Drosophila melanogaster: one gene and its partners. The protein of the gene in region 1 purifies or fractionates together with the protein of each later gene. This does not show direct contact. Each region holds a gene or a part of one and is shown in the gene's direction. Other genes may lie near its edges. The genes, in order: lqfR, Tti1 and spag.

Region 1 (12,072 bases):
ACTGGAGGCGCTGGATTTTGTGGAAATATATTCACCTGCGGGCGCAAGAGTATCGGTAGGTGGACTATATTCAATTTAAATTATGAAACTTAAATATCTTATCTTATAAACCCCTACCAGTCGCCTGGTGCAGAATCGCGAGCACGAGGATGAGCGGTATGAGAAGTGCGTGGAACAGCGCATGGAGCGACACCGGGTGATCAAGCAATTCCCACGCAACAAGGATGACTTCGATCTGCTATATGCTGAGGTGGCTCGTTGGAAAAAGGCGGAGCTAAAGCGTATTACCGCCAACTATGAGGGGCCTGCTCGCATTGCCGAGGTGAACATCCTGCTGGACAAGGAGATTCAGCTGCTTAATGGCGTGGAGCGGCAGCGTAATCTCGTCTACAAGGCCATGGAGGATTTTCGCAAAGATCAGCTGCTAAAGGAGATGGGCAAACCGATCGAGTGGGTTGGCTACAAGGACTCCAAAATCCACATGGATCTGTTGAGCACACAGCGAGTTCGCTTCCTCACCGAGATCTACAAAGATCTGCGAAAGCCGCGCAGCAAGGAGGACCGCTTAGACTTCATCCGACAAGTCATGGCAGTGCTCACCGAGGAGACTTGCTTCCCACATTTTCCCGAACTCTTTGATCTCTTTGATCGCGAAAAGAATCTTTTGCTCTATGCCAAGTCCTTTGACGTGGAAATCTTGCGCAAACGCCAGACAATGCTCTTTTTCGATCTCATAAAGTTCCAAAAGGGCGAGCCCAAACAAAGTAAGTGTTGAACATACGTATATATCTATTTATTGTATTAATCTTTGGGAATTGTGATTTTTAGGGATTCCATCGCGCATGTGCATTGTATGCAAAAAGGTCAAGACCTATGCCGAGTTTGCCATTCGGACACGTCAGAGCCATGTGGACACCTGCAAGCACTGTTACTATCTAAAGGTGGGTTATTCCTTATTCCACATTTTAAATATTATAATCGAAAATATTTTCATACATACACATAGCTAACTGCTACTGAGAACACCGTGTACCAGTCCATTCTACGGTGCATCCATCGAGATGAGCGGAAACGCAAGTGCACCACATCCTTTGCATTTGTAATGCAGCCAGATGATGTTCGCCACATCATAGACAAAATATGGCATGGACATTCGGCTCTAAGCAAGACAGAGAATCTCAGTGAACTAAGGTAACCCCTTCACAATGAAGTGTTTAAAAATCAAACGTCAAATATATCTATTTCAGATTACCGCGTTGGAACAAGAGCGATGACTGGGCACCGTGGAACTGTATTTGCCTGACGGAACGGGAGACGCGAGATCACTACAAGATCGATGACATTGAGAAGGTGTATGATCCCAAGTTCGTTCTGCACATCGGTAATCTTCACATGCTGGCTCGCAGCCTATTCCACACCTTAGCTGCTGTGGCCACCGAGTTCCAGGAAACGGGCCAATGGTGGAAAGTGGGCATGAACAAGCAACGTTCCAGTAAACTGGATGCCGTCTAAACTATGTGGTTAAAATGACTCCCAGTAACTCACCTTTCGAAATTTGGGTTTAGCTTGTAATTCAGCGCCTAATTTAACATTTACAAAATTTTAACAATTCAAATATTGATCAATCATTACAAGAAAAATTAAATAAACTATAACTGCAATTATTTGCTACTTGCAATCGCCTTGAACTTTGACTCCAAATACTGAACGCGTTTCAGTAGTTTGTCACTGGTGCTGAACTCATTATAGGGCACGGGAATAACGTGGTAACCACTCTTCTCTAGCAGATCAAATGTCAGATTCGTAACGCCGCTGCCACTGCGATGCGTTCCGTGGCAAATGTCATGGAAATCGATGACCATCAGCGCCACCCTGAAATCAAGTTTCATTCATTATAATCAAGTTAATTTATAAAACGTGTAATAACTTGCCTTATTGCATTCGGATTTTCCTTGTCCAAAGGCAGGGGGTTTTTGTTAGCATCAAAATGGCACAGTGCATCTGAAACGACAGTTAATCAGGAATATGGTACACATTAACAAGGAATATCTTACCTATAAGGAAGCCCATTTTAGTGTCTACAGCAGTTTGTAAATGATTGCTGGCCGGCAGCAGACTTTTCAGGGCATCTAGCATTCCATTTACAAGCACTTGCTTTGCTTTAGGATGAGCCATGGGCACCTGATAGACAGGACTGTCAGTGGGCAATAGTGGACCCTTGTAATCTGTGGCTATTAACTGGGCATAGCTATTCAAGTTGAGTAGCCTCATTTTGGAGGTAGCTGTGACACCAGCTTTGTCCTTTTTCAACGTCTCTAGGAAGTCCGCACTGAAAGTAATTACAAATTTAAGTTTTAATTCCAGATTTTCAAGCGTTTCAAAGAACAAACCTCAAAACAGAAGCCAAGTGGCCGTGTTCTACTAGACCCAACATTGTTAGCGACCACACAAAGCTCAACCACTCGGATTGCTTGGTAAAATCCTCGCGGACAATAGACTTTACTAGCTTTTTGCTCACTTCCTCCAATTGAGCGCTTTTGAAGTTTAGCAGGGCCGATGTTAGGAAATAGGCACTGAGATCTTGGGGGCGACAGATTTCACTATTCTTTAAAAGCCACTGCGTAAGTGATTCCAAGATATCTACCGAAAAAAATAAATTACATTAATCACAACTTTTTCTGATGTGTTTATATCCGAGCTAACCCAAATCCCGGTATCGTAAAATGCCCAGGCTGGTGATAATGGATCCCACAACGGCAGACTTCTCCACATTCTTAGGCAGCGCCGATTGCACATCCGCACACACTTTAGCGCCTAGAACAGAATCCTGGAAATTCAACGTGGACATAGCGAACAGCACATCCCCCGCTTGCTTTAAATCCAGCGATTCCGACGCGCTGCTGATATTAAAGGCCAGGGAGCGCAAGAGAGGAGTACTACGCCTCTTCCGCTGGGCCAGGGTGCTCATCACCTTGACCATCTGGGGCAGACTGATGCTAGCTATCAGCTTAGCGGCCTCATCGTCACCAGCTACGCCAAGCACCGTGTTTAGGTCATCTGTTCGGAAGCCGGAAATCCGCTTGGCCGTCCCATTGTCACCAAGGTCCTTGTTGTTAGCATTATTATTTTTGGGAACCGTCCGGCCCAACATCCGGCAAATACGTAGGAACCTTGTGTCGTTCTCGAATTCCGAGATCTTTACTCGATTCAAGGTGCTCCACTCGGCCAGTATGGAGACAATTCTGAGGGCATGCTTCCTCGAGAAGCCATTGTTGTTCTCCGTGATAGTTAGCAGTCCATTGACTGTCTTTGCGTTGATGATACGCTCATCGATCTTGCTGGAGGCTTGGCTTTTGCTCTCATCTTTGGGATCGTCGTTTCTAAGGGATTCGAAAGCAGCGGCTACCATGTGGCCTGCAATAAGGATGGAGTGAATACCAATTAGTAAGGAGGACAACAATTTTAGAATCTACCTACCCCTGGGCTTTTTGGCCGCCTCCTCCACAGCCGGCGCGCGTGCTTCCGGCTCCACTGCATCCGATTGTGCTCCAGTGGGCGCCACGGGAATGCCCGCTGCCCGGACACTGCTGCTGAAGGCTGCACGGCGGTACAACTGGGTGACAAAACTGCCGGCAAAACGTTGTAGTCCCAACATTTTCAGTCAATCCACACGCTGCAAGAGACCACAGAAGTTTACATAACCTTTTTGTTTACATTTTTAGCGGCCAGGAAGGGGCTTTACAAAGCATGCCAATGATATAGGCTTATATTCATGACTTGAACCGTCTTATTTCCCCTGATATCCTTCACGTTTCATTTAGTATTTTCATTTATTTTAGTAAACTTTCCTATTGAACGTTGAGAATCCACAGATGACAGCAGCGTTCAGCTGATGGTAGTGTAGGGTAAGACCCGTCGGCTCCATGCAAAGCTTTTGTAACACTGCGAGCTGTGCTGCCAACTCAGCATTTTCTAGCTAGATCTGGCGTTTTTTATTCCGGAACTTAGGTGTCATTGCATGTGCTTTCGGTTATTTGGTAAATGCTTCCAATTTTATTACTATGCCGATTTCTCTTTGTGCTTTATTAATAAGAAAACTAATGTTTTATTGAACTATTTCGGTTATTGGTAAATGGTTCCCATTTTATAACTATGCCGATTTCTCTTTGTGCTTTATTAATAAGAAAACTAATATTTTATTGAACTATTTGGAGCACAAATTTAAAAAGCTAATTTTCATTAATAACGGCTACAGCTATTTATCGGATTTAGCTACACTTGAACAGTGAGAGTTGGAAACACTGTTTGCAACACTGGACACGACAGCTCACCAAATATTAGCTGCTGTGATTTTGTTTTACAATTTTCGTTTAAATTTTTACATTTTTGTTTGCGGAAAGCGCGGGTGCGAGACAGGTGCGCCGTTTCCATGCAAAAGTGCAAATCGTCAGCTGCAAAACAGTCAGAAAACGGCACGCCAAGCGAAAACGAGTTCGACGTCTTGTTGTAGTTGGATTTTCCAGCCACTTTTCGACGAGATTGTGTGAAAAATTCCGTAGCATTCAATAGTCTCAAAATGGTGGATAAATTCATCAGCATGTGGAAAGTGCGCGAATTGGCGGACAAGGTGTAAGTGATCAGGAATATATAGGATATATCCATACGTATATGTAATGGGATGTGTGTATAACATTCCCTTAACGCCGAAGTGAATGTTAAGACTCCCACGCCCCAAGTTTTCTGATTTCCCGCCACGCCCCCAACTCCTCAAGGATTTCAAAAGCCCTATGTCATGCATAAATCCCTAATAATTCATAAAGATATCTTACTTATGGATCAACTGCATCGGGGTGCTGGATTAGGTTCACGTTTTTAACTGCTTTCAAGGTTGTTCGCCATTTCAAGAGAGCTTTACCAACACAGCCACATTCCGATATTGATATCCATGTGTATATGCGCCTGTGTGTGTGGGGCTTTATCAAGAAACAATTTGTTTGCTTTCGACTGCCCAAATATAACAATTTTTTCACCTGTGTTAACAGCTCCACTTCCAGGCTTTCCAGTGAAATGGGTGTTTCTCTTTCCCCCATCGAATTATTAATTATGGGTGTCCCCTTTCACCTGCGCCTTTTATGGGGTAGTTATTTCTAAAAGCGAGCCTATAGTTCGAATAAATAATGGTGGCTCGATAGCCAACACCGAACTCATTAGGTTAAGTGCGCGGGTACACCTTTCCTAGGGCTTATCTCGAACTGATAAGGAACACCTAGATGGCCCATTTGCGACAATTGGCCCACTTCCATCACGTTTCGAACGTCTATCAACGTCGCAGCCAAGCCATGCGTATTACTTATTTATCTGCATCTTTGCATTGTATATCCATATCGTCACACAACGTTTACTTAAAAATACCAGTTCTGATTAACTGGCCCTCTATCTATTTGATTATCTATTCAATTGAGTTTACGGAATGTCCCAGTCAATATGCCTTTTTTCTTTACTTAAGTATATATCAATTATTTAAGGAAACAAGCTCGGATTAAGATTTGTATTTACATATGTACAAAAGTTCTACGACTAACATCGTGAATAGTTAATAGTTACTTTAAAATAAAACAATGACTTCGTTCCCACTTGCAGCACCAATGTCGTGATGAATTACACGGAAACGGAGGGCAAGGTGCGGGAGGCCACCAACGATGATCCTTGGGGGCCTACAGGACCCCTCATGCAGGAATTGGCCTATTCCACCTTCTCATACGAAACATTCCCGGAGGTGATGTCCATGCTGTGGAAGCGCATGCTGCAGGACAATAAAACCAACTGGCGACGCACGTACAAGGTAACGTTTTCAGTTTAAACTAATAAATATAGAGCTAACGAGTATATATTTACTTACAGAGCCTCCTTCTGCTAAACTATTTGGTGCGAAACGGCTCTGAACGGGTGGTAACCTCCTCTCGGGAGCACATCTACGATCTGCGCTCGCTGGAGAACTATACATTCACCGACGAGGGCGGCAAGGATCAGGGTATTAATGTTAGGCATAAGGTACGAGAGCTTATAGACTTTATTCAGGATGATGATCGTTTGCGCGAGGAGCGCAAAAAGGCGAAGAAGAACAAGGACAAGTACATCGGCATGAGCAGCGACGCCATGGGCATGCGAAGCGGTGGCTACAGCGGCTATAGCGGTGGATCTGGAGGAGGCGGCGGTGGCAGCGGTGGCTACAATGATGGCGACTATCGCTCTAGTCGTGGAGACAATTGGTGTAAGTAAGAAATTTTTATTTTTTTAAGATTTTTGTTCAAATTCTCTATATGTAATATTAATATTGATGATTTTTCTTCAGACTCCGACAAAAGCGCCGACAAGGATCGGTATGAGGATGATGATACTCACTACGATGGAGAGCGAGAGGGATCCGATAGCGACTCACCCAGTCCAAGGCAAGTTTTCACTTTTCCGATTAACCTGCTCTATATCCTAATGTACTCTTTTCTCCTCACAGACGTAACTATCGATACAATGACCGTGCGAGTCCTGCCGAAGTAGCCAGCGAGGCCAAACCTTCCAGCCTCAACATGAACATTCGTTCGAAGACCGTCAGTTCCCCTGTCTCCAAGCAGCCCACTTCAACGGCTTCTGCCAAGCCAGCGCTGTCCCAGAAGAAGATCGATCTGGGTGCGGCAGCAAACTTTGGAAAGCCAGCTCCTGGCGGTGCTGCTGGCATTCACTCACCAACTCACCGTGACACTCCCACCAGCGTGGACTTGATGGGCGGCGCTTCGCCATCGCCGTCTACTTCCAAGGCAAACAATAATACGCAAAGCAATAACAACGATCTGCTGGACGATCTGTTCAAGACCTGCTCGCCACCGCCGGGGCAGGAGAAGACGCTGAACAGTGCTGCCGTGATTGTGGATGACGATGATGACTTCAATCCGCGTGCCAGCGATGCTAGCCAGCAGGAATTCGGCGACTTCGCCTCTGCTTTCGGGCAGCCCTCGGCGGGATCGACGATCAGCGAGCCACCATCAACGGGCCTGGTTCCGGCTGCGAACGATGAGTTCGCCGACTTTGCGGCGTTCCAAGGCTCGACAACGTCGACATCTGCGCTGGACGGTAATTTGCTGAAGACTGCCACGCCGGCGAACGATTCGTTTGACCTGTTTAATTCAGCTCCCACCTCGACGGCAGCAGCCACAACGGCTACAGATCTCCTGGCAGGCCTGGGCGATCTGTCCATTCACCAAAGCATGCCCATGGGTGAGTTGTAGTTTGATTCTTGTAGCTTAACATATTATTAAATTTGAAATAGTTTTAAGATTAGAGTAATTGCATTGGCCTTAGTCACTTCATGATATATTTAGGTATCGCTGCATGAAGGTGCGCCTTCCGAGCTTGACTAGAGCCGTTATCTCTACCTCGAGCTCCACAGCCCACACAAAGATACACTATCTCATCCTCCCACATATAAACGGCAACATTTTCCAATCGGATGCACTCGTTCTCTTCTCGTTCTCTCTCGTAGCTGTTGAAGAGCAGTTGGCATCCAGTAATGATTCGATGTCGTCGGCTTCCCCACAGCCACCATCTGAGGCAATGCGTCTAGCTTTTTCCAAGGCACAGAAGCAGCTGCGCGATTTAATGCAGGTCCAGAGCGCTTCAGCCGTTGCCCAAGTAGCAGCTATTTTGGGGGAACTGCATAACTCAAACGCACTGCCCGGATTTACCACACCTGAGCAGTTGGTTGGCCTCGATCGTCAGACGTGCGACTGGACCTGTCTTGCCCATGGAGAGTATGCCGCATTGCTGAATCAATTGACAGAGCTATTCAGCCAGGATTGGCCAGAGCCATCGCAGGATGTTGAAGTCGTTAACATTTTTAAACTGGATCACAGCTTTGATTATGTATCGGTTGCCTTTGAGTCGCTTCAGACTAGATTGGATAAGTTTCCCAGTACTATTAGTTCCTTACTGGAAAACATGGTTAAGGATGAGAGCCTAATTTCTATCGCCTTGCTGCACATCTCCCGCCAGAGAGCTTCCTTAATGCAGCGCTTTGCGCGGACCATCAAAGTTATGCCGGAAAGAAAAGTGGAGGAGCTGGATGCCCAGGTGAAAGCGTTCTTTCAATTGCTAATCAGTCTGCCAGCCCAGGTGGCCAATCGACTGGGTAGAAGACTGCCAGAGACGTTTGCTCCAGTTTCTTATCAGAAACTCCTGCTGCGCCAGTGGCTGAAATCCTTGCACTTTGTCCTACAGTGCGATGATAATAGGGAATACTTTGATTTGGAACCGTACTCCTGGCTTTTGTCACAGGCTATTAACCTTATTTACGATGTTTCAACTTTGGAAAGCCTCCTACGAGTACTTAAGGACTACGCGGTGGCTCCCAGAGGAAGAAAAGTAGTTCATACCATATTAAAAGAATTGGATCCCGCTGCTTGCCTAAAAACAGCACAATCGGCTCTTTCTGCGGGATTGAACCTGTACGTTCTTATAGGTGCTGCCACTTTGGAGACACCTCATTGGAAGCATTGCCTGCTCCAGAAGTTGCCTCTTCAACGCACACCCGTGGATAATAAGCAGCTTATAACATTGGCCAGTTATCTTAACGCCGTAGCTCCTGCTCAACTGCAGGTTCTTTTGAATCAGTTGCTTGGAATCTGGTCGAAGCGCATTTCCTTGCAGAAACTGGGCAGCCAAGAGCACTTGGCTATATCCAAATTGCTTGTGTTGGCGGCAAAATGCCTTTGTGGGAATCTTGTAATGGATTTGAACATCCAGCGTCAGCTCCACGATGGACTCAGCAACCATTTGCAGTCCCCAGATGCACTGCAGCGTCATGTGGGAATGAAGACCGTGGAGCTAATTTTCAATTTTATTGCCTTGCCTGATGCGAAGGAGGATGATCGTCTACGATTTGAGTACGATTCATTTAAGGATACATTTCATTGGCACATCTTCGAAGAGTTTGATGAACTTGGCCAGTTTGAAAGCCCGAGCAAAACTAAGCTAGATGAGAAGCCTTGTGAGGATCAGCTGAAACAATTAGAACTTCATCTCAGTGACTTTATGAGTACTACAGAGCAGAAAGAGCCGCATAAGCCGAATATTGAAATACAAGCGAATCCCGCTCCCGAAAATCAGAATGTAAACATGCAGCTGGACTCGGATGACGACGAGCCACTGGATGAAGACGACGATGAATTGAAACCCTATGACATGTCCAACGATACAACCACCACCATTGATCAACGTCCCAAATTCGTCATCGACTTACTGCACTTGCTCCGAGAAAAGGTGGAGAATTATCAGGTGTTCGAAGGAGCCTTGGGCACAGCGGAGCAACTTATACGGGGTCAGCTGGCCAAACATGATACTCAGTTGGCCTTGGATCTGCTACAACTTTTCTTGGTCATGGAAATGCAGTTCTACTATGAGCAATTCGAACGTACGCAATTTAAGTGTTGCGTGGCCATTTGTGTGGCTCATCCTGGTCCCTGTGCCGAGTACCTATGCCGCCAGTTCCACACGGATAACTCCTTCTATTCGGCCAGTGTCCGTATTCTGATCCTTCAGGTACTGGCAGCAACGGCGAAAGAACTTTCTGGCGATGAAAACATGCAGAATGAGATGGAAATTGTGGATGTTATACCACCGGCAGCCAAGCATCCCCGAAAGTTCGAATTTCAACAGGAGGAGGAGAGTCCGGCCGCTCGTCTGGCCGCTGCGCAAAGGATCATCCGCGACCGGCTGCGGGCCAAGACGAAGAGATATTTCAGCAAGCCCAAAGCTGGAGATCAAATGGAGAAGGCCAACCCATTTCACCCCGTTGCCGGTACATTTTTCTTCAGTTTGGTGAGGGGACAGCGCACCCGTCAGATGCTTTACGTAAAATACGAAAATATTTCTCACGACATCGACACCCAGTTGCTTGTTAACCTGCTAAACACCATGTCCGTGTTGGTTATGTGCTCCCAGAACTGTCCACTGTTGCCAGCGATGACCCGCGAGATCTTTGACCTATGCGCCTTTGTGCGTTTCAATGCCGAGGCCCGCGTCCGAGCGGCCACATTGCAGCTAATAGGAATCGCCTTGGTAACCACACCAGCTCATGTGCTGGCCCAGCACTTTGCGGAGTCATTGAACGAACTGCAGCGCTGGCTGAATGACTTCATAAGATCGCCATTGGTGGGCGGAGAGACTTCGGAGGAGTGTCGTGAACTGGCCCAAAGCATTTTGGACACCTGCTACAAACTCTTTGATACAGCCGCCATGGAACAGGCTGCCTAACTTGGCCATCAAAAAGTTTTGAAAGCAGCCTATAGAGTTTTAAGAGATTTAAAATATTAAAACTGTATTTAAAATACACTAAGCATATTTCTTGTTACGGAAAAACGAACAATTTTTTACTGAAATATTTCCGAATTAATATATGATATATATGATTAAATACAAGATTACTTCATACTTTACATCAATTCTCATACAAACGTTAACGCTGTGTCCTTAAACATTTTCTTATAATTGTATAAACTAATAATAGACTCGAGAGTTAGGTATTTGCTAGAAATAAGACAACAGTTCTAGGAATTATTTTTTAAATATCTATCGCCCTCGAAGCCATTGTATTCCAGGTATACATATATGGATTTACTTCATTTATACTACTTTCTTTTGTTTATTTGTTTTTCTCCTACTGCATATTTGTATTGCAAACCACACACACATTGGATCCAATATTATTTCTCAAATATATACATACATATGTACTTAATAATGATGAATTGAAAAGCATTTCTCAATATTCCGGGCATTGTGCGGCCTCCGCAGCCACGGACTCATTAGGTAAACCAATCCAAAACGGCAATAGCCACATAACAGATACGAACCTATTCTTTCCTTCTGTAATTGCACTTGATTTGCTGCGCAAACGCTTCCGAGTAGTGACCACCTCATTAGCCGATCACCAAGTAGCCGCATTCGCAATTCTATCGAAGCCACATATTTAAAACAGCTTTTTGTGAAACCAAAATAAAAACGAAAACTGAAACCCCGAATAACATTATTATTGCATTTGTTTTTTTCCAGACAATATGATGCCTCCCATTCCCGCCGTCACGGGCAATAATCTGCTCCAGCCCATGTCGGTGACCAATAATAACAATAATACCAACGGAGGCGCAGTCCCCGCCGCTGCCAGTGTCCAGTCTACCGCTGTGGGCGCCACCTGGTCGGGCGACCTGAAGGGCGGCAAGATGAACATTGACCTGGACAATCTGCTGATGAGCAAGTCGGGCAAGCCCAGTGCCCCGGCCCCTTCGATGAATGCCCTGAAGACCAACAGTCCGGCAAAGGCGCCACTGAATGTGCAGACGGGTGGCGGATTCCCTGGACTGTCGCCAATGACCAGTCCGAACATTTTTGGGGCTCCGGCACCGCAGCAAAGCATTCCACAAAACCAATCAGCATTTGCCAACTTTGGAGCTTTCCAGCAGCAGCAGCAGAATCACAGCAATAATAACAATAATAGCTCGTCGGCATTCGACTTGTTTCAATGATATTTTTTAGCCTAATTTAACCCAACCAACCTACTACCCAAAATGTCCACTCTCACATTCACATTTCCACGATCGCTAAACTTGTCAGTTCTATATATTATTTACGTTTTCCTTTCCCCTTGCTGTACAAAGTTTGCGACACGTGCAATTTGTTTCTAAATTCGTTGTTAAACAATTTACCCCCGATGCAATTTTCCGGATCAAACCCATTAATTCCACATCCGTCCTGATCGTCCACTCGGAATTTGAAAGTCGTCATCAAATGCAATACACAGAGTAGTTGAATAATGGTTGTACTAAACGGATTCGTTAGCACAACGCGCGGACGGACGGCTGAGCGATCCAACATTGAAATTGTTAAACAAAATACTACACGTAATAAAATCAAACAATTTTAGCAATAGTTAACGTTACGATGTGTCTGTATATAAATTGAATGTAAAGCAAATATGAAATATAAAACAATTGAAACCAATAATTATGATAGTCTCTTGATTTAAAA
Region 2 (10,184 bases), about 13 Mb from region 1:
CGTATCGAATTCGTTTTGGAGCGATGCCCATAGTTCAGTGTTTTGCTTGTTCTTCGCCTCGACCAAAAGATGTGTGTATGCAACCAAATCCGCCTGGGTATAGTTCATTGTCTCGTCCTTGCTGTAAGTCCATTCATTATTTATTTCCATAAAACGCGACACGCCGCTCTGGGCGGCCAAGTTGGAAATGTGAACGGAAACGTTTGAGGTGCCAGCTTCCAAGCGATGCAATCGGGAGAGGGCTGCTCCGCCCGGATAGTTGGTGCCCGAAATGACAAGCAGGAAGAGCGTTATAAAGACATTTAGCAGGAGATGGGCTCCACAGGCGAGCGCCAGAAAGCTATGCCACGTTGACTTGGCGCTGTTCATCCAACTAAACGAGGAAACCAATAATAGAAATGCATTTTACTAATGAAATAATACGACGCTTACATTCGTTGGCATGCGCAAGCCGCAGCAATGTTGAGAACTGGAAACACGTAGATGATGAAGCGCAGCTCCTTGTGCGGCAGAATGGAGTACAAAAGGACAAAGAGGAGAGCCGACAGGACCAATGGCCGAATACGTGGCTCCAATGCGACGCCGATGGGCACGAGCACCAGCGATGCACCCATGGCACGTGGCAGGGCGGAGTAAAAGTACCATAGAAAAGGCGAGGTACCCCAGTTGGAGCTCTTATTGAGTACGGTGTTGTACCATAGCACCTCACCCTCGGGCCAAAGCAGGCGGCGCCAAAAGAACGAGTCCACCAGCACTGTGGCAGCCAAAATGCAGACGCCCGCCGGCAGTGCAACTTTGAGTAGCCTATTTTTACAAATATTAGCATTGAATAGTATGCAATGATTGATAATCTTCACCCGTCAATGGAAACTTTTCGCCGTAGGAGGCTCACCACCAGCAAAATACCCAAAAATAACGCCAACTCGGATCGAAAGACGAGAATGGATATACCAGAGCAGATGATGAATGGCTTGTGCTGGTCGCGTAGCCAATAGGCAATGGCAAAGAGCACTGCAACAAGAAAAAGTCTAATAATATTGGGTACATAGCATAGCAGAGACCGTCAACTTGGCTTACCTATCGGCAGGGCAAAGATATTGGGCAGAGGCCTAGTCATGTAGAACATGAAGTGGAACTGCGTAATAGTGATGGCTGTGAACCACAGGCGGACCTCAACTCCGTAAATCTTTGTCACCGCCTGCCGTAGGCTGTTCCAGGCCACAGAGATGGCCCCAGCCAAGACAAGGCGCACTAAGGGGTTCATAATCAATTAACACTCCGAAATAGGCAGTTGAAATGCTGATTTTACCTACATATTGGGCCCAGAACTTGTTGATGCTAAGGGTCTCGAAGAGCAGGACAAACGGGGCTGAGATAATGGACACCACCAATGGGCCGATGAAGGTGCGTGGAACCACGCCCGGATAGTCATGGTGATCGTACTGAAATTCAGAAAGATATTAGTGATCTGGCAGGAGGTTTGGGGAACCTTTGTCCTCCACCTGCGTAAAGTTGTTTCGCAGATAAAGAATGTCGTGCATGGCCTGGAGATTGAAGCTCTCCTCCACTTTCGTAAAGGGCGTGTAGACCAAATGGGCCGCCGCCGTCACAAAGATTAGGATGTCCATGTTGCGGGCGGTTTTGGCTGTCGGGTGTCGCTGGTGTGCAAAGTGTGCTGGACAGGAATCGGGGCGTTACATAATGGCCATATTTGTTTTGACACCGATATCTATATATTCTAGTCCGTTGGAAAATCTATAAATTTCTGCGCGATGGTATCTGACGAAGATTTCCCAATCGAAGCCGGCGTTGCACAATGTCGATATCTAGCCACCTTTCTTTGACTAAGTGTTTGAATGTCTCACAAAAAGTGTCAATGCCTAGGCATATATATTTTTCCTATGCCGAAGAGAATTTGTGGTTCCAAAATAAACCAAAATAGATATATAAATAGATCGCTCCACGTCGGAGGCAGAAAAGCAAGCACAACAAAAACAAATCCAAGAAAAACAACAGGTCGGTTCAACAGCTGATTGCCATTCACGTGGCGACGCGAAAAGTTTCGAAGGAGCGTTAAAAATCATTTTAGAAATTGTATAATTTTTATATATCGATCGGGCTTAATCAACATAGTTTGAAAATACAATATATCATAACTTCGCATTCAATAAGTATTAAATAATTGTTTCTGGTTACGCTCATGTATTGAAGCTTTTTTAGTATTGCCATTCTTATCCTGTTAACAGTTATCGATATTTTTTTTACGATAACCTGCTTTAGCCTTTGAAAATTCGTGTCATTGCCTTTCACTTCGAATCGAATCTCCACAGGGATAAGACGAAAATGCGTTTGTTAAAGGAGGAAATTGCCCAGTTTCACGAGCAGTCGCTGGAGAAGTATGATGGACTGGATCCGCATGATCTGTATGTACTATATAAGAAGCTTCAGATGGAGCTGGAGCTCATCCAGGTGCAGGAGGATTATATCAAGGAGGAGCAACGCAATCTGAAGAAGGAGTTCATACACGCTCAGGAGGAAGTTAAGCGCATAAAAGCCGTGCCTCTGGTCATTGGCCAGTTTCTGGAGGCGGTGGATGAAAACAACGGCATAGTGGCCTCCACCACCGGATCCAATTACTATGTTCGAGTGCTATCCACCATTGACAGGGAGCAACTGAAGCCGTCCTCTTCGGTTGGGCTGCACAAGCAAAGCAATTGTCTGGTCGATCTGGTGCCACCGGAGGCGGACAGCACCATATCGATGCTATCGCCGGATGAGAAACCGGATATCAGCTACTCCGACATTGGAGGCTTGGACATCCAGAAACAGGAGATACGCGAGGCTGTCGAGCTGCCCTTGACCCACGCCCAGCTTTACAAGCAAATTGGTGGGTATTCGCAATATCAAAAGACTATTTCCACTAATTCTCTTCCAGGCATCGATCCCCCACGCGGCGTCCTCCTTTTTGGACCACCTGGATGTGGCAAAACCATGCTGGCCAAGGCGGTGGCCCATCATACAACTGCATCATTTATTCGTGTCGTGGGCTCCGAGTTCGTCCAGAAATACCTAGGCGAGGGGCCACGCATGGTGCGAGATCTTTTCCGCCTGGCCAAGCAGAATTCTCCTTCAATTATCTTCATTGATGAGATCGATGCGATTGCCACCAAGCGCTTTGATGCACAGACAGGTGCTGATCGCGAGGTGCAGCGCATCCTGCTGGAGCTACTCAACCAAATGGATGGCTTTGATGAGACCACCAACATTAAGGTTATCATGGCCACCAATCGTGCAGATACCTTAGATCCGGCTCTGTTACGACCCGGCCGTTTGGATCGGAAAATTGAGTTACCATTGCCGGATCGTCGCCAGAAGCGCTTAGTTTTCACCACAATCACCTCGAAAATGAATGTGGGTGAGGATGTGGATCTGGAGGACATCATTGCACGTCCGGACAAGATCTCCAATGCGGATATCAATGCCATTTGCCAAGAGGCTGGTATGCATGCAGTGCGCGAGAATCGCTATGTGGTCAATGCCAAGGACTTCGAAAAGGGTTATAAGACCAGCGTGCGCAAGGACGAAGCTCAGCATGAGTTCTATAGCTAGATGATTAATTTCAAATACAATCTGAATATGTAAACTTGTAGTATTTAACAAAGCCAATCCCGAGTTTACCAAAATCCTGAAACTTCGAAATATATTAGTCAATACTGGTGCTTTAAATAAAAGAAAATCAAAATTAAGGGCGGCTTGGCGCGCAATTCAAAATAACCGATAGACTTCGATAGCGATTGTGGGTGGCGGGGGTGAAAACGCGCGCGTTTGCATGTGACTGTCGGAACAGCTGTTGGTTCAAAACTTCTTCCCGGATTTTGCCGGGTTTCGCTTTGGGTTTATTTGGTTAGTGAATACTGCTGCCACGATGATGCATCTAGAGTGGTATGTGACGAAGATAAAGCCAGCGGTGGAAGGCTTCATCAAGGAGCCCAGCAAGGACACGTTGTCGGTGGTGGAGCGCGCAATCGAGGGATTCAACTTTGGAGAAATGCGCATTTACCAGGTGCAAACGGTGGTGCCACTGGTGGTCAAACTGGATGAGCTAACCGGGTAAGTGGCTCCGCTCCGCTTGGGTTTTCGACTTCAGAGAAGACTGTCTCTTCCGCAGAGAAAACCAGGAACTTCGCACCAGCCTGATGAACTGCTTAAGCAACATTGTCTCCAAAACATACCTGGCCGATGAGAAGGGTCTGCGTTCCATCCTGGTGGTGGTGCTGCAACAGGTACGCGACTCCAAGACAGCGTCCATGCGACCAAACCTTTCCGAGGAAATCAAACTGGCAGCCGTTCAGTGTATATTCGAGGCACTTCGTCGCTCCACCACTGATGTGGTGGAATCTTTCTACGTTAAGGAGACTGCGATGGTTATTGGCCAGATACTGATCATGCTCTTGGAAATCATCGAACAGGAAAAGTATCGAAAACTCGTACAGACAGCCATTCAGTGTCTGATGATGGTTTTCTATGTCCATGACGAATCCGATCAAGTGGATGTTGTCCTGCGTAGTCAGGTAGCCAATACCATATTTATATTCCTTCCCAAGGTACTCATCGTGCTGTTCAAAACATCAATGAAAGATGACAAGGTGGGAGAGACTATAAAATCGGTGAGTTTTTCGATGGTTTTGTATAACTTCATTTATATTGATTTAAATATTATAATTAGATGGCAATTCAAGCGCTGGGACGCATTATTTGCATAATGTTTGAGGAGACCACTAATGAGTTTATAAAAATGCGCTACGATGGAGATGCCTTCCGCAAACTGTTCAAAAACAACGAAGAGGCTCATCAATGCGATTTCACCTTTTTTGCCAGCAAGAAGGCTACTACAGAACAGAATGAGGAGCGATTGCATCAAATGCAAACGGAGCTTCGTTCGCATCAGTGGGTGGCCGCCACTTCGAGGCACCTTCGACCAATATTTGCCGAAATGAGTATTCTACGGACTCACAGCGCAATACGGGTAAGGGAATCCTACTCCGATATGTGTTGCCTGTTGCTAAAACATTGTGCTTACAATCTGAGGGGAAACTTTCTCCATGTACTAGAGAGCGTATTGGCTCTGTCAGAGGACGAGAATGAGAAGATAGCCCAGCGGTGCAGGGACACCCTACTTCTGCTGCAACAACAGGCCAGCAGCCAAGACATATTCGATGAGAATGCGGAGATGCTGCTAGATGCACACCTCAATAAATGGCCACGCATACTGCATCGCTGCGAGGACAACGAACAGTTTGCCGAGCTTCTGTTCTTCAAAGGATTCCTACGCAACGTCAACACCGATAAATTGCAGCTATTGCTGCTAGTTCCCAAAAATCTGGAGATGTTCGTCACTTGTCTGTTGACAGCACTAGATCAACGGCCAACCAGGGACCTTCTCAACGAGGAATACTCACTTCGACGTATTCGAGAAGGTGATTCCAAAGGTCTGGCCGCCGAACTGGCCAAACTGCCTTGGAGGCAGTTCAAGTATCTAAGCTCAAGGCGTACAGTTGATATCCTATATGACATTGGAGCCCTGTTGGGTACTGAGCCAACAATAAATCGACTTGTATTTGATTACTGTCAGGAGATGATTCAGCAAAGGTCACCATCCATGAACGAGTGTGTGCTGCTTCTAACACTGATGGTAACGCCGCAGGAGAAGAAGGCGCGGGGAAGTCGACTGGTGCTGGCTAAACTTTTCTTGGACCAGATCCTTCGAGACGAGCATTGGAACCTGGCCCTTCAGCCGGACTCGGCGTGGCGCCTTAAGGTCAACAAGGTGAGAATGGATTTTATATGTGTACAATGTGTACTATAATTTTTTTTAGCCCACGCATTGGTTTGAGGACCGTACTCCTGGCATCTATTCATCGGCGATTGAGGTACGCACCCAGGACTGCGATTCTGATGACGAGCAGACGGAGGTGGTCGGTAGTCGGGTGACCATTGCAGACGCCCAGTTTAATGTTCTGCACACCTGCCTAATTTTGGATGCAGTGGGTCACTGTGCCAGATTTATTGGTGATACCTTCGACAGGCATATATTTTTAAGTCTACACAAAGTGCTTCTCAAGGTGGCTAGCAGTAACACTATCGTCCATCAAGCGGCCAGTTTCGCCTTCGTTTCCATGCAGTACGCTCTTAAATATGCGGAGCCCTCACATTTTATCGAATGCTCCACCGACTACATCACTTTTCACCTAAACGCGTTGCTAAAACGATCGCCAGATAGCACGGCCGCCGTGGACATCCTCACCGTCGTGTTGCAGTACAGCACACGCGGCAATGTGCCCCACCTGGACAGCTTATTCCAAACTATACGCGAAGAGTGCTCCAAATCACACCAGACAACCAACGTGCACTCTTATCTTCGCGTCTTCAAATCATTCCTGAATCATGTTTCCGATTGGCATGATGATGCTGCGGCGGAGGTTGATACCGAGCTGCCGATGCAAGTGGATGAGGAGCAGAATGTCCTAAGCACGTGGATGAGTGTGCTGGAGAGGCCAAAGTTATTGAAAGATCTGAATGGCGACACCAACATGGGCGACGCCGAGGAGCCGGCAAAGGATGAAGCCGACGATGCGGATGACACGGAAGAGAAACCCACGAAGCCCGTGCTTCCGCGCCACGTGGAAATGGTTAAGGATATACTAGGTCAAGTAATCAAGTTCATTTCCACCGCCGATCAGGGGCAGCAGATTGCAGCTTTGGAATGTTTCTCCAGTGGTCTGCCATTACTGGCGGACTACGAGGACGAGCTGCTGCCATTAGTGCATCTAGTGTGGCAACCTCTGATCGAAAAATTCCGCCAAAAGGACGCATTGGTGCTAAACCGATGCTTCACCCTGCTGCACTTGCTAGGCGTTCATGCCAAGGACTTTATACTTAAACGCAGCCTTAGGTAAGTCACTGTTTCGAGGATAACTAGATCTTTTTACCCTATCCTTGTGCTTTTCAGTGATGTGATACCCCAGTTAAAGCAGTTCCTGAAGACAGCATCCCTGCACAGCAGCACGGAGACCTCGCAAGCGCAGACTCAGGAGTACAAACTGCAGCTTAAGCTGCTGAAGAGCCTCGCGGACTTTATACTCGGTCTTCAGATAGAGGGAAGACATCTGCACGAGATCATGAGCACGGTGGTAATATACCTATCACAAATACAGCCGCAAGAGCTACAGACGCCGGCCAGAGCGTTCTTCCTCCAGCTTATTTCTTACAATGGACCCTTCGTATACGTTACGCTGTTGCAGCGGGCCCATCTTCAGGATTATCAGGCTAATGTTAACCAGATCTTCGAGGTCATGGGCTTTAGCATAGCTAGTGGACGAGATCTTGGTTAATAAAGAACGGACCGATTTTTTATTTCACAATTGCTCTATTCTGATTTCTGTTCACTCGATTAACATTACAGGCTCTTAAGCTAGGTGTCTTTTAATGCAGTTTCGAATATTTTGATCAGAACTGTTTTGTTTGTGCCCGGAGAGTAGGCAATAGTTATTGGATTAAAAAAATGTATGGGATTATTATTGAGGTATCTAACTTGAATAGTTTTATTGAAATGACTTTTATAAAATATAAACAAGGCAAGGTTTTTGAACAAAACTGGGGTTTTATACACAAATAAAGCGTTCGGAACAAACAAAATTGATGAAAAATTGTATATATGTAATCGTATATTATGTTTTGGTAGCCATAACTAAATGCTATGCATAAACAAACATTTTCTTTCAATTTTTACTTACAAGTGGAACCCCAGATGCTTGGCACCGATAAAACTTAGCATCCGACTTCTAAAGCCACAATACACTATAACATTTCGTTCTGTATCAAATATAGCTGAATTTATAAAATGATTGCTGTTCTGTATTTGTGATCTTGATCCTTTCCCCGTCCTCCACTCGTCCTACGCCTTATGGACTCGCCATACTCGTACTTAAGTAGTGAAGCAGCTCGCGGTGTGCATAAGTCTATTGAGCATCTTCGAATCCTTTTCCTCTCCTTTGATCATTGTAAGCTGGGCTGTCTTGCGATTGTAAGTTCTCAAGCTGTTTGTAAATTGGTATGTGTTGTGTGGGAGTATGTTTTAGCTATTGAAGTTAATGCGAAACTGACTACGCCAGCCAGTTCATTAGGCTGTTGGCATAGGCCATGGGCTTGACGTCGGGATGTGGCTGAAAAGATTACGCTAATGAATTGACCCGAATAAAGTTGTTTTTTAGTACTTACCACAGCCTCGAATGATTTGTAATTTGGTTTCAAATTGTTACCCGTAATGGTAATAAATGCGCCCATGTTGCCCATAGTATCACTGCAAAAAAAGGTAAAAGATTACCTAAAGTTTAAGGATCAAATGTGTAGGCTTACCAATAGTTCGGAGCAGAGAAGACTGTTATGCATTTACCGTTGTGAGCCACTTCATAGCCCATATCCTTAACCTCGTGGCTTCGAATGATGTAGTCCAGGTTGTTGTCTTTGCAGAATTTCTCGGTAACATCCGGACCAAACTGGATGCCCACGCCTCGCTTCGACTGACCGAGACCCATCCACTGCTGAGGATCGGACCACAGCAACTCGCACATAAGACCTTCCTCGGGCGGCTGGCAATTTCGTTCGATGCGTCTTATATGGTCCAGAGTCACGTCTTCCGTGGAGAAGAGCCCGCCGTGCATGACCAGGATCTTTTGGTTGATGCAGTGGCACAACGGCAGCCAGTTGAAAACTTGCGTGAATATGTCAGCCATGGCGCTGGTGTACTTCGCTGTCACCTCGCCAGTGAATCCATACATTTGGTTCATGTTAATGCTTTCATGGTTGCCTGGAATATGTTTGAAGCATGTTATAAATAACATCTCTACATCTGAACAGAAAAAAAAACTAACCGCGCGCCAAGAAGAAGTGATTAGGATACAACAGCTTGAAACCAAACAGCGTAAATATACACTCCACAGAGAAGGAACCCCTGTCAACGAAATCGCCGTTGAACAGGTAGGGATTCTTTTCAGAGGGCAGACCATTGATCTCGAATATGTTCATCAAGTCGTAGAATTGACCGTGAATGTCGCCACAAATCGTGAACTTCTCCTCATCCGGCACAGTGATATCCACCAGCGAGGGCTGAGCTCGCATATACGTGTCGATCTCGCAGAGTATCTGAAACAAATTGTATAAGTATTCAAAGGTCTGCTGGGCTTGGGGGTTACACGCATACTTTGTAGGCAAATTTGCGGTGCAATCGCTTCTGTGCCTTGTAATGCTCCATCAATTCCTTCATGAACTTTAGAGTCACCTTGCCGTCTTCCAGCTGCGGACCCTTGTAGTCATCCTCAATAGCTGCAATACGTTGGCAAAAGCAAGTAAATCTCTACGTCTATATAGAGTAAATATAAGCCACTTACTTATGTTTTCCATGTCGCTGTACATCTCTGAGAGCGTCTTCTCGGGCTTATCCACAGCAATGGCCCGTTCGAAGGCGCGCATTTTGACAATTTTGTTGCACTCGGTAAACTTAAGCTTGGCGTCTTTGTCGTTCGGCCGGCACTTGGCTACCTGTAAAGAAATTTTTGTTTAGTGGAGGTCCCAAGGTGCTGCCGGGGATTACTTACGAATTCAAAGTCACAAAGGGCTTGCTTGAACTTCCCCAGAGACATGTGAGCCGCTGCCCGGCGATAGTAACCCTTAAGGTAGGCAGGATCCGCCTTTACCGCCGAAACACCATCCTGTAGTGCGAAACCAAAGCTCTCCTGGCGCAAGTGCGCCAAGGATCGGTTGGCGTAATATATCGCGCTGTTGGGGTGCAGTTCTATGGCTTTGGTGTACATGTCGATGGCTTTGGAGAACTCCTTGGCTATGGAAATAGACCAAAGGGTGAGTAATGGTAATAATTATACCCCCATAGGTTCCGGCAGACTTGTAAATTATCACACACAGCCAAAGTTTGCCATTGTTTTAAGGTTATGTTGAAGGTGGCACTGGTAAAGTGCACTCACAGAATGGATTGCTCGAAGGACACTAATCGTGGTCATTACGGGCCTATGTGATTGCCAGAGGTACTTACTTTTGAGCATTTCATTTCCCTGATTTTTGTACTGCTCCGCCGCGGCAAAATCGAGTTCCGCCTTCGTACGGGCATTTGT
Region 3 (8,455 bases), on another chromosome or scaffold:
GGAAATGCACGGGTTCGCCATCCATGAGCTGCGAAATATACAAAACAAATTAAGCTGCCTTTCATCTAAGAGCCATAAATAATAATGTTTCCTATGCGCCGCCCGACTTTCCTCCGACCGCCCATCCATACATCTAAGCATCCAACCATCCCTCCATCCATCGAAAGTATCTGAACGATTTGTTTTTCTGGCGCTTTGCAGCTGAACGACTTGTATCCGATCGCCCGGCTGACACAGAAAATGGAGGACGCATTGACCGTCTCTGGGAAGCCAGCCGCATGCCCCGTCGACCAGGACTGCCCCTACACCATCGAACTGATCCAGCCGGAGGATGGGGAGGCGGTGATAGCCATGCTCAAGACCTTTTTCTTCAAGGTAAGTGCGCTCCCGCCCATCGTACATTGTATTATAATCAGGGGGCTGCTTGGGAGATTGGTGTGCATATCGTAGGAGCCAATCAAGCCGAACACCTGGCTCCGGAATTTATAACCGCTTGCCGAATAATTTGAATCGAAAGGCGGCGCACAAAGGTGAATTTGAATAGTTTCCAGCGAATTTCAATTAGCTGCGCGTTCGTCTTAATTAGGCTTTAATTCAGATCGAAATTCGCACACTAAACTTGAATTAATGCGTGTTGGCCAATCCCTGGGAATTCCAGCCTCCGCCGGGAGCTTGCCCCGTTTTGGGGCATGTGGAATCTTGTGGAGTCCGTCCAGTATTCGGCTGTCGTGAGATGTCTTGACATGATCCATGTCACGGCTAGCTTTCAGCTGGTCTTGCATCACGACTCTTGGCGATCTGAATCTCAATCTCAATTGGAATCTGAATCCAATGCGCTCGCTTGATCTTGACTGGATCAGGTTCCAGTTCTCGATGGGGCCGGCCAATGAGAATGCTCCCTGCACAGACCCAGACCAATTGGGCACTCAAGACCTATATTTATACATATGTACATTGCATATACATATGTACATATGTATATACTGCATATTGATTAGTATGCATGCCACGCCCGCTGGCCACAGCCGCCCCCCTCCGGCGTTGAGATGTTGATATGCAAATCGAGTTCCGTTCGCCATTCCCCAGCTGCCTCCATAAATTATTGGAAAATCTTTAGCCGATGCAATGCGTGCATAAATCACTTGAATTGCCGATCAATTGCACGATCGTGTCGCCTAATAGCGCCGCCAATTTGTTCGGTCAGCAGATCCCCAGATTGACGAGCAATCGGATCCAAATGGGTGGGCCAGTGCACTGATGTCTGAAATCTAATCCGTTTTCCTATTCCGCACAGGATGAACCGCTGAACACCTTCCTCGACCTTGGCGAGTGCAAGGAGCTGGAGAAGTACTCCCTGAAACCGCTACCCGACAACTGCTCCTACAAGGCGGTCAACAAGAAGGGCGAGATTATCGGTGTGTTCCTAAATGGACTTATGAGGCGTCCGGTAAGTGAACCCATTAAGTATGATATGAATGATGCATGACTTATTGTGCTCCATCTATGCATAGTCCCCCGATGATGTGCCCGAAAAGGCGGCCGACTCCTGTGAACATCCCAAATTCAAGAAGATCCTCTCGCTGATGGACCACGTGGAGGAGCAGTTCAACATCTTCGACGTGTATCCCGACGAGGAGCTCATCCTGGACGGCAAGATCCTGTCGGTGGACACCAACTACCGGGGCCTGGGCATCGCAGGCCGCCTGACGGAGAGGGCGTACGAGTACATGCGGGAGAACGGCATCAATGTGTACCACGTGCTCTGCTCCAGCCACTACTCCGCCCGGGTGATGGAGAAGCTGGGCTTCCACGAGGTGTTCCGCATGCAGTTCGCCGACTACAAGCCTCAGGGAGAGGTGGTCTTCAAGCCGGCGGCCCCGCACGTGGGCATACAGGTGATGGCCAAGGAAGTGGGTCCCGCGAAGGCGGCGCAGACCAAGCTGTAGACGATCTGAGTTCGGATTTTGTACTATCGTATGTGATTCTTTAGTTTGTAGTTCGGTGGCGGGTTCCCAGTAGTGTATCAACGTTCGATTCAGCGTAGTGTAAACAAACAGTACAAGTTACGTATTTATCTAATTTAATCTTCCCGTCGCGACGGTAAACTTAAGTGTTTTGTGTTTAGAACGAGCTCAAAATAAAACCTTGTCTTAATAACATAACCGACTGGACAACAACTTAGCCCCTGCTGGCACGGCGGGAGTTCGACTTCCTGTTCTTGCCGGAGCGCTTGGCCTGGCTCCGTTTGGCCTGGGTCTTCTTGGCGTTCAGTTTCCGGTTGCTCCTGGTCCTGGAACTACGGCTGGTGCTGCTGGCGGTGGTGGTGCCCACACGGATCTTCCTCACAATCGAGTACGTCAAGTTGGACAGGTACACTTTCTTGGGCGTGCTGGACGAGCTGTAGGTGGGACTGGTGGAAGTGGAGGAGGAGTTCTGTGAACTGGAGAAGTCCAGGCAGCAGATCACGAGCACCACGATGCACAGGGTGCCGATTTGAATAGTTGACTTCATGTTGGTAGTAGGATTGCTTTTAATATGCTTCGATGGATGCGGCCGGAGTGCTTAAGTAGTCGCCCTGGTTGTTTGCACAGTTTGCTCAATCGCCTACGAAGGCCGACGAAATTGTTTAATTTTGGCAAAACACACTGGCGCTTAAGCAATCGCTCTTGAGTTTGCTTTGCCTTGAACCAAAACAAAATATTCAAAAATAGCTATATGCTTTCACGTTTAATTTGACCAAAGGAAATGGGGAAATGGGATTACTTAGCCGAAGACTGGTTGAAAGGACTCCGCGACATACGGTCCACCATACGACGCACTTGCTCCTCGTTGCCGTACTTCTGGGCATCGGCCACAACGGCGGCATGATGGGAATTAGCCTCTGCTGAGATTTCGTCCTGGATCTGGCGACTCAGTTTAAAGGACGACCTGTTGGGGATGGTGAAAGTTCAGTGTGACTACTTAAATTCTCTGGTTCATAATCATTAACCTGACGGAGGTGAAGCCAAAGAGTGCCCCGACGAAGCCTAGGGCCATCAGAACCACGGCCACCTGCCAGTTGGAGACCCTCTTCAGACCACGGATGCCATAGTACGGTCCTGGATTGGGATCGTAGTTGGGCCTCACATCCCACGCCTGGCCGGGATTGACCGTCTCGCCAACGGGACTGCGGTCCGAGCGCGATGGCTGCCACAGCAGGCTGTCATCGTAGTCTCTCCTCCGCTCCGGCTTTATCAGGGTCTTGTACGCCTCGGAGATCTGAACAAATCGGGCTGTGCGCTCCGGACACGCAGCATTGCTCTTAACATCTGGGTGGTACTGTGGAAAGGGCAGGGTTTAGGAGGCTCCTTTGGAATCTTGGAGTTACTTACCAATTTGGAGAGCTGGACAAAGGCATTACGGACTTCACGGGTGCTGCAATCATTGCGAATATTCAAAACTTCATAGTGTGTTTCGGGTTTTCTTGGTTTGTCGTTCGAGAAACTGCGCAATAGGCAAACATTTACTTTACATAACAAGTTTTATAGACGTAAAGTCCTTACTTACGCACATATCCAGCTCGAGTTGGAAGGCACAACCTTAGCATTGTGAGCTTTATTAGTATTATTTGTGCTGATCTGTCGGAGAAAGCATAATTTTAAACTAGGACTTTCAAAATAAAATCAAAACACAAAACAGCTGATTTGAGGGCCTTACTCTGGCAATCCTGGCTGGCCAGCTACAAAAATAGAGTTGGCAGCTCTGTTCGATGAAACAGCAACTCAGTTGAACTATCGACAGCGAGCAGTGCTGCCAGACTGTCGGAGCGCTAGCAACAGAAATAACAAACATTTAATATTTCTTTAGCCACTTGACAAGGCAAATCAATATGAGTGCACAGGAAAAAGCCTTCGAACTGCAGCGCCAGGTGCGCCAGAACGCGCGGGAGTACGAGAACTCCGTGAAGGACTTGTACTCCTGGGAGCAAGACATTAAAAACAAGGAGAAAGAGCTCCAGAAGTCGCCGCTTTCTGCCGCCAATAAGGTTAGCTTTAAATTCTTTGGTATTAACAAGTAAAGCTCACACTTTCAATGCAGGATCTGCCAGTGCGCAGTCATGTCCAGACAGACAAGTCGCGGAAGGAGAGCCCATCCTCCTCGGCGGCCAGCTCACCCACGGAGAAACAGGACTTGCCAGTGGATCCTGTGGCCCAGCAGTACAAGAAGGCCAACGACATCAAGGACCGTGGAAACACCTATGTCAAGCAGGGGGAGTACGAGAAGGCCATCGTGGCCTACTCCACTGCCATTGCCGTCTATCCCCACGATCCCATTTACCACATTAACCGGGCACTGTGCTACCTAAAACAGGAGAGGTAGGACTGTTTAGAATGTTCTCGATACTTCTTCCTTACATGCATATTTATCCTTGCAGCTTTGATCAATGCGTGGAGGACTGCGAGGCCGCCATTGCGCTGGATAAGCTCTGCGTGAAAGCTTACTACCGGCGAATGCAGGCCAACGAGTCCCTGGGCAACAACATGGAAGCCCTGAAGGATTGCACCACTGTGCTGGCCATCGAGCCGAAGAACATCGAGGCCAAGAGGAGCCTGGCCAGAATCAACGACCGTCTGCGCAAGATTGGTAAATATAATTTTGATTACCTAGTAAGCATATTTTAAGGCTTTTCATTGGCATCCTTACAGCCACCAAAAGTGGGCCAAACTTTACACCCGATCGTCCTGGCATGATTGAGATCTTGCCAATCGAGAAGCCTGCTTATAAACGCTCCAAGAAGGCAATGCGCAGTGTTCCCGTTGTAGACGTGGTATCTCCTCGTGCTACCATCGATGATAGCAACCAACTACGCATTTCGGATGAGGACATAGATAAGATATTTAATAGTAACTGCGGCATAATCGAAGAGGTCAAAAAAACAAATCCAAAGCCGACGCCAATGCCAGACACATCAGGTCCACCCAAAGCTGAGACCATTGCTAAGACCTCCAAAGAAGTCAAGCCTACCAAACAGACTGCGGTTAAAGTAGCTCCAGCTGTGGAAACCCCCAAAGAAACAGAAACACGCAAGGATACCAAGATTGTGCCTGAATCCGATAATGAGGCCAAGCCAAGTGCACCCAAAAAAACGGCTGTCGAGGTCCCCAAGGTTCAGACTCAAGTTTCTCCACCAAAGACCACAATAGAACGCAGCCCAGAAGTCAATACCGTGCAAACTGAAAAAATTGAACAAGCTTCGAGCAACAACGCAATGTCACCCAGTCCAATAGAGGTAGGTTCGCTTAAGATCAAAGCTGAATTATTATTAAACCAATTCTCTATGATTTAGCGCTTCTTACCGCCCGCACCCACGAGCACAGCACAGTTCCATGTGACCTGGAAGGAGCTGAGTGGTCCGCAGAAGTACCAATACCTAAAGTCCATTGAAGTCCCGAATCTGTGTAAGATCCTGGGAGCAGGCTTCGATTCGGACACGTTTGCCGACCTGCTGCGCACCATCCACGACTTCTTTGTACCAAATAAGGAGCCAAACACAGCAGCTGTCTTGCTGGAGATCAGCAAAAATGACGAATTCACCATTTTGGCCATGCTCATGTCCGCAGAGGAGAAGAAAAGTAGGTGACAAAACTTTTCTTGCATAATTTCGTTTGCATTTCATGTACTTTCCCCTTTTCACAGTGGTTTCGTCTATCCTCAACGCCATCAAGAACTGGCCCAGCAAGAATCCGGCTGTGCTGGACAACCTTTTCAAGGAATACGGAGTAGCCTAAACACCCAATGTTTTATGTTAAAATGTACTTATGTTGCTTCAAATTGTTAGCTCCAAAATCAACTAAAACAACAAAAATGTTTAAAATATAAAGAGGATTTGTAGATAGGATCCCAAAACGTTACACAGAATGCGAATGATTGAATGTGTTTTGTTCAGCGTTTATTAGATACGCTAAGATGCTCACTAGTTACACATGCTGGGAATATCTCAAAGTGACTCATGTTTTTTAGCCTAGTATAAGCCGAAAATTCCATATGCAGAAGACCATTTGAGCAAACAAACCGTTCTTGCCCGACCAGACCATGAATATTGAATAACCAATTGAGTAATACGAATTAGTGTAATTTACATAAATCAGCGCATTAATTCAATCTGCGAAGCCACCTAAAATGGGCCTTCCAGCAAGAACAACAACTCCATTAAGCGACGTTAAGTTGGAAGCGCTGATGATCAGTCGGCTTATCCGATCCGTGCACATATCATTACAGCGAAACCACAGCCAGGAGCACCAGGAGGGGCCCCCAAAGCAGGAGGGGCATCTCGCCGAGAACCGCGCACCACCGAGGCACCCGGGCGGCCCACTAATTGCGTGAGAGCTGGTGCACTAAGCACAGGGGCCGGGTTTTACTTTAGCCCATTGTGCCGCCGCTAGTTATAATTTAATTTACATTTTTCTTAACCAACGCTGGCTGCGATTTATCAATTTCTCGCCGCGAGAGAATTCGCGAGAGCGGCTTCCTCCAGGGTTGCCGCTCCATTTGGCGCCCGGGGAGCTGCAAGTCGAGCTGGATCCGATCTGGATGTACTGCTTTAATGTCTTCACCAGCTAAAAATGTTTCTATAAAATGTTTATATGCTTGTATAGAAAATCAATCATATACGATCATATAATCATATAATCCTGATACGAATGCCACATAATTTTGATACAAGTTCAAGCTATGTGTTTATATTTTCGATAAATCCCGCCCAGCTAGCGTTCCAGCGAGCCGCAAGCTCCAAGCTGCGATCTCCGGGCGCAGTGGCAACCCCCGACAGAGCCGAGCTCCGGAGAGACCGATTCCGAGTCCAAGCGAACGAGGTGGAACGGGAATCGAGCGAGCTTGGGGCTATCGCTCATTCGAGATTTGCTGTCGAACCGACTTGGTGCATTCGCTCCGCGGATCCAATATCGCGGTTAATCGGGGGAATCGAGAGAGGCGGCTAGTTGGCGCGACTTTAGAGTCAGTGCATCGAGTATACGGAGCGTAAAACACCGACTATAACCGACATCGACACAGTGAAGCTACAGATTCGTAAACAATCCCAGTAACGCCGATTCGTGCGAGTGTAAGTGGGTGTGCCAGTGTGAGTGCGACTAATTTAAAGGCGACTTTAGCTAATCCCAGATCTACACTGATCGCAAAACAACCGCATCCCCTCCGCCTCCGCGCAGTGATCCAGTGTCTTAGCCAATGCATTTAAAAGCCATGCTGGTAATTACGCAAATTCTGTGCAGAAAAGCGAGTGAAACATGTGCGATCGAGTGAAGATGAGAGTGAAGTGGCGATTTCACTAGCGTGAAAAGTGCTTGGGCAGCCACTGTGGCGTATACGTAACCCCCTAAACCGGCCAAAATCCGTGCACTACCGCACACATCTCTATAGATCTGTATCTGTAAAGCAAGCAAGACAATGGGGGCCCAGCCTCCTCCCACTGAAAAGCCAAATGGCAGCTCCCCCCGCTTCGTTCGCCGGAGTCGAAAAACAATAAGAATGCGGCACAAACGGGTTTTTATTCTGCATTATTTATCGCTTCTGTTTGCCGTCGCCAAGTGCACGTCTTCATTCCATTAGTTCGATCGTTATGCTCTCGCTAGCCGGAGATTACTCCGATCGGAGTTTGGAGATCTGCGATCTGAGATCTGCTACTATATCTTCGTCTCAGCCTGTGCCAAGCACACAAAACAGCAAAAACTCACGAGAAGATCGGCAAAATAAAGGCAAACAGCTAAAACGTGTCCCATAGCCCAAAAAGACACTCGCGACGAGCCATCGGGCCAAGACATAAACTCAACCGGTTGGTTTGCTTTTCGAGCACCAGCCACAGTAACAGAAAAAAAACACAGAAAAAACAGTAAAAAAAAAAATAAAAACAAAAATCAGTGAGGAAACACACCTCACCTCCCCCATAAGGCCCACGAACCCAAGAGCAGTATGTAAAAATTCAGAAGAAATGAGTCTGGCAAAAACGCGCCGAGATACTTATAAATAACAGTCTAGATGGCCAAGAAGGCGGGTGATTGGGATATAGGGGGATGGGGGGGGCTGTTTAGCATAGTTTATTTTGGCGCTAATGGGCGGGGGAGGAGGGAGCAGAGATCCGGCTAACTGGAATCAAAGCCGAAAAGATGCTAAATATGCGATCAATAACAAATAAGAAATAACAAATGGAATATTCCATGCCATCCCGATCGGGCACCGACTTTCTTTTCTCGCATCCGCCACATTTGCATTCCAAATGAAATCCTACGAGCGCACTCCATTTCCAGTTCGATGATGGGTTTCGGTCTGACCACCGTGCTACGAGCACACCGTGCTGACTCAGCCACTTCCACTGACGCACTTCCGACCAGGGATCTCGCACCCCACGGAGCCACATAGATGCGTGGACATATGCGCTCGGCCGGATCACTGCTCCCATGTT

What was found.
Region 2: the proteins of lqfR (region 1) and Tti1 purify together in Drosophila melanogaster (affinity purification with western blotting; one study listed by BioGRID). This does not show direct contact.
Region 3: the proteins of lqfR (region 1) and spag purify together in Drosophila melanogaster (affinity purification with western blotting, with the first as the bait; one study listed by BioGRID). This does not show direct contact.

What each region holds. Positions count from the first base shown.
Region 1 is NT_033777.3:22,407,009-22,419,080, forward strand, and holds lqfR (liquid facets-Related), read left to right. Parts: upstream 1-4,292; 5' UTR 4,293-4,576; coding exon 4,577-4,629; intron 4,630-5,640; coding exon 5,641-5,842; intron 5,843-5,901; coding exon 5,902-6,271; intron 6,272-6,352; coding exon 6,353-6,449; intron 6,450-6,511; coding exon 6,512-7,269; intron 7,270-7,534; coding exon 7,535-10,302; 3' UTR 10,303-10,794; downstream 10,795-12,072. Other genes in the region: CG13855 (uncharacterized protein), read left to right, coding at 1-55, 121-764, 829-941, 1,007-1,191, 1,248-1,512; CG13850 (uncharacterized protein), read right to left, coding at 1,662-1,872, 1,932-2,001, 2,055-2,329, 2,391-2,640, 2,704-3,414, 3,478-3,655.
Region 2 is NT_033777.3:9,748,323-9,758,506, reverse strand, and holds Tti1 (Telo2 interacting protein 1), read left to right. Parts: upstream 1-3,820; 5' UTR 3,821-3,925; coding exon 3,926-4,110; intron 4,111-4,168; coding exon 4,169-4,667; intron 4,668-4,726; coding exon 4,727-5,827; intron 5,828-5,876; coding exon 5,877-6,952; intron 6,953-7,009; coding exon 7,010-7,391; 3' UTR 7,392-7,419; downstream 7,420-10,184. Other genes in the region: Alg12 alpha-1,6-mannosyltransferase, read right to left, coding at 1-373, 433-804, 858-1,011, 1,078-1,251, 1,310-1,442, 1,503-1,628; Rpt3R (regulatory particle triple-A ATPase 3-related), read left to right, coding at 2,344-2,887, 2,936-3,609; PpD3 (protein phosphatase D3), read right to left, coding at 8,163-8,222, 8,278-8,359, 8,416-8,866, 8,931-9,201, 9,260-9,381, 9,447-9,597, 9,654-9,895, 10,106-10,184.
Region 3 is NT_033778.4:24,155,603-24,164,057, forward strand, and holds spag (spaghetti), read left to right. Parts: upstream 1-3,781; 5' UTR 3,782-3,868; coding exon 3,869-4,024; intron 4,025-4,077; coding exon 4,078-4,355; intron 4,356-4,414; coding exon 4,415-4,623; intron 4,624-4,685; coding exon 4,686-5,269; intron 5,270-5,326; coding exon 5,327-5,612; intron 5,613-5,676; coding exon 5,677-5,768; 3' UTR 5,769-5,901; downstream 5,902-8,455. Other genes in the region: speck, read left to right, coding at 202-375, 1,295-1,447, 1,512-1,946; CG42568 (uncharacterized protein), read right to left, coding at 2,179-2,511; DnaJ-60 (DnaJ-like-60), read right to left, coding at 2,760-2,928, 2,990-3,318, 3,372-3,483, 3,543-3,586.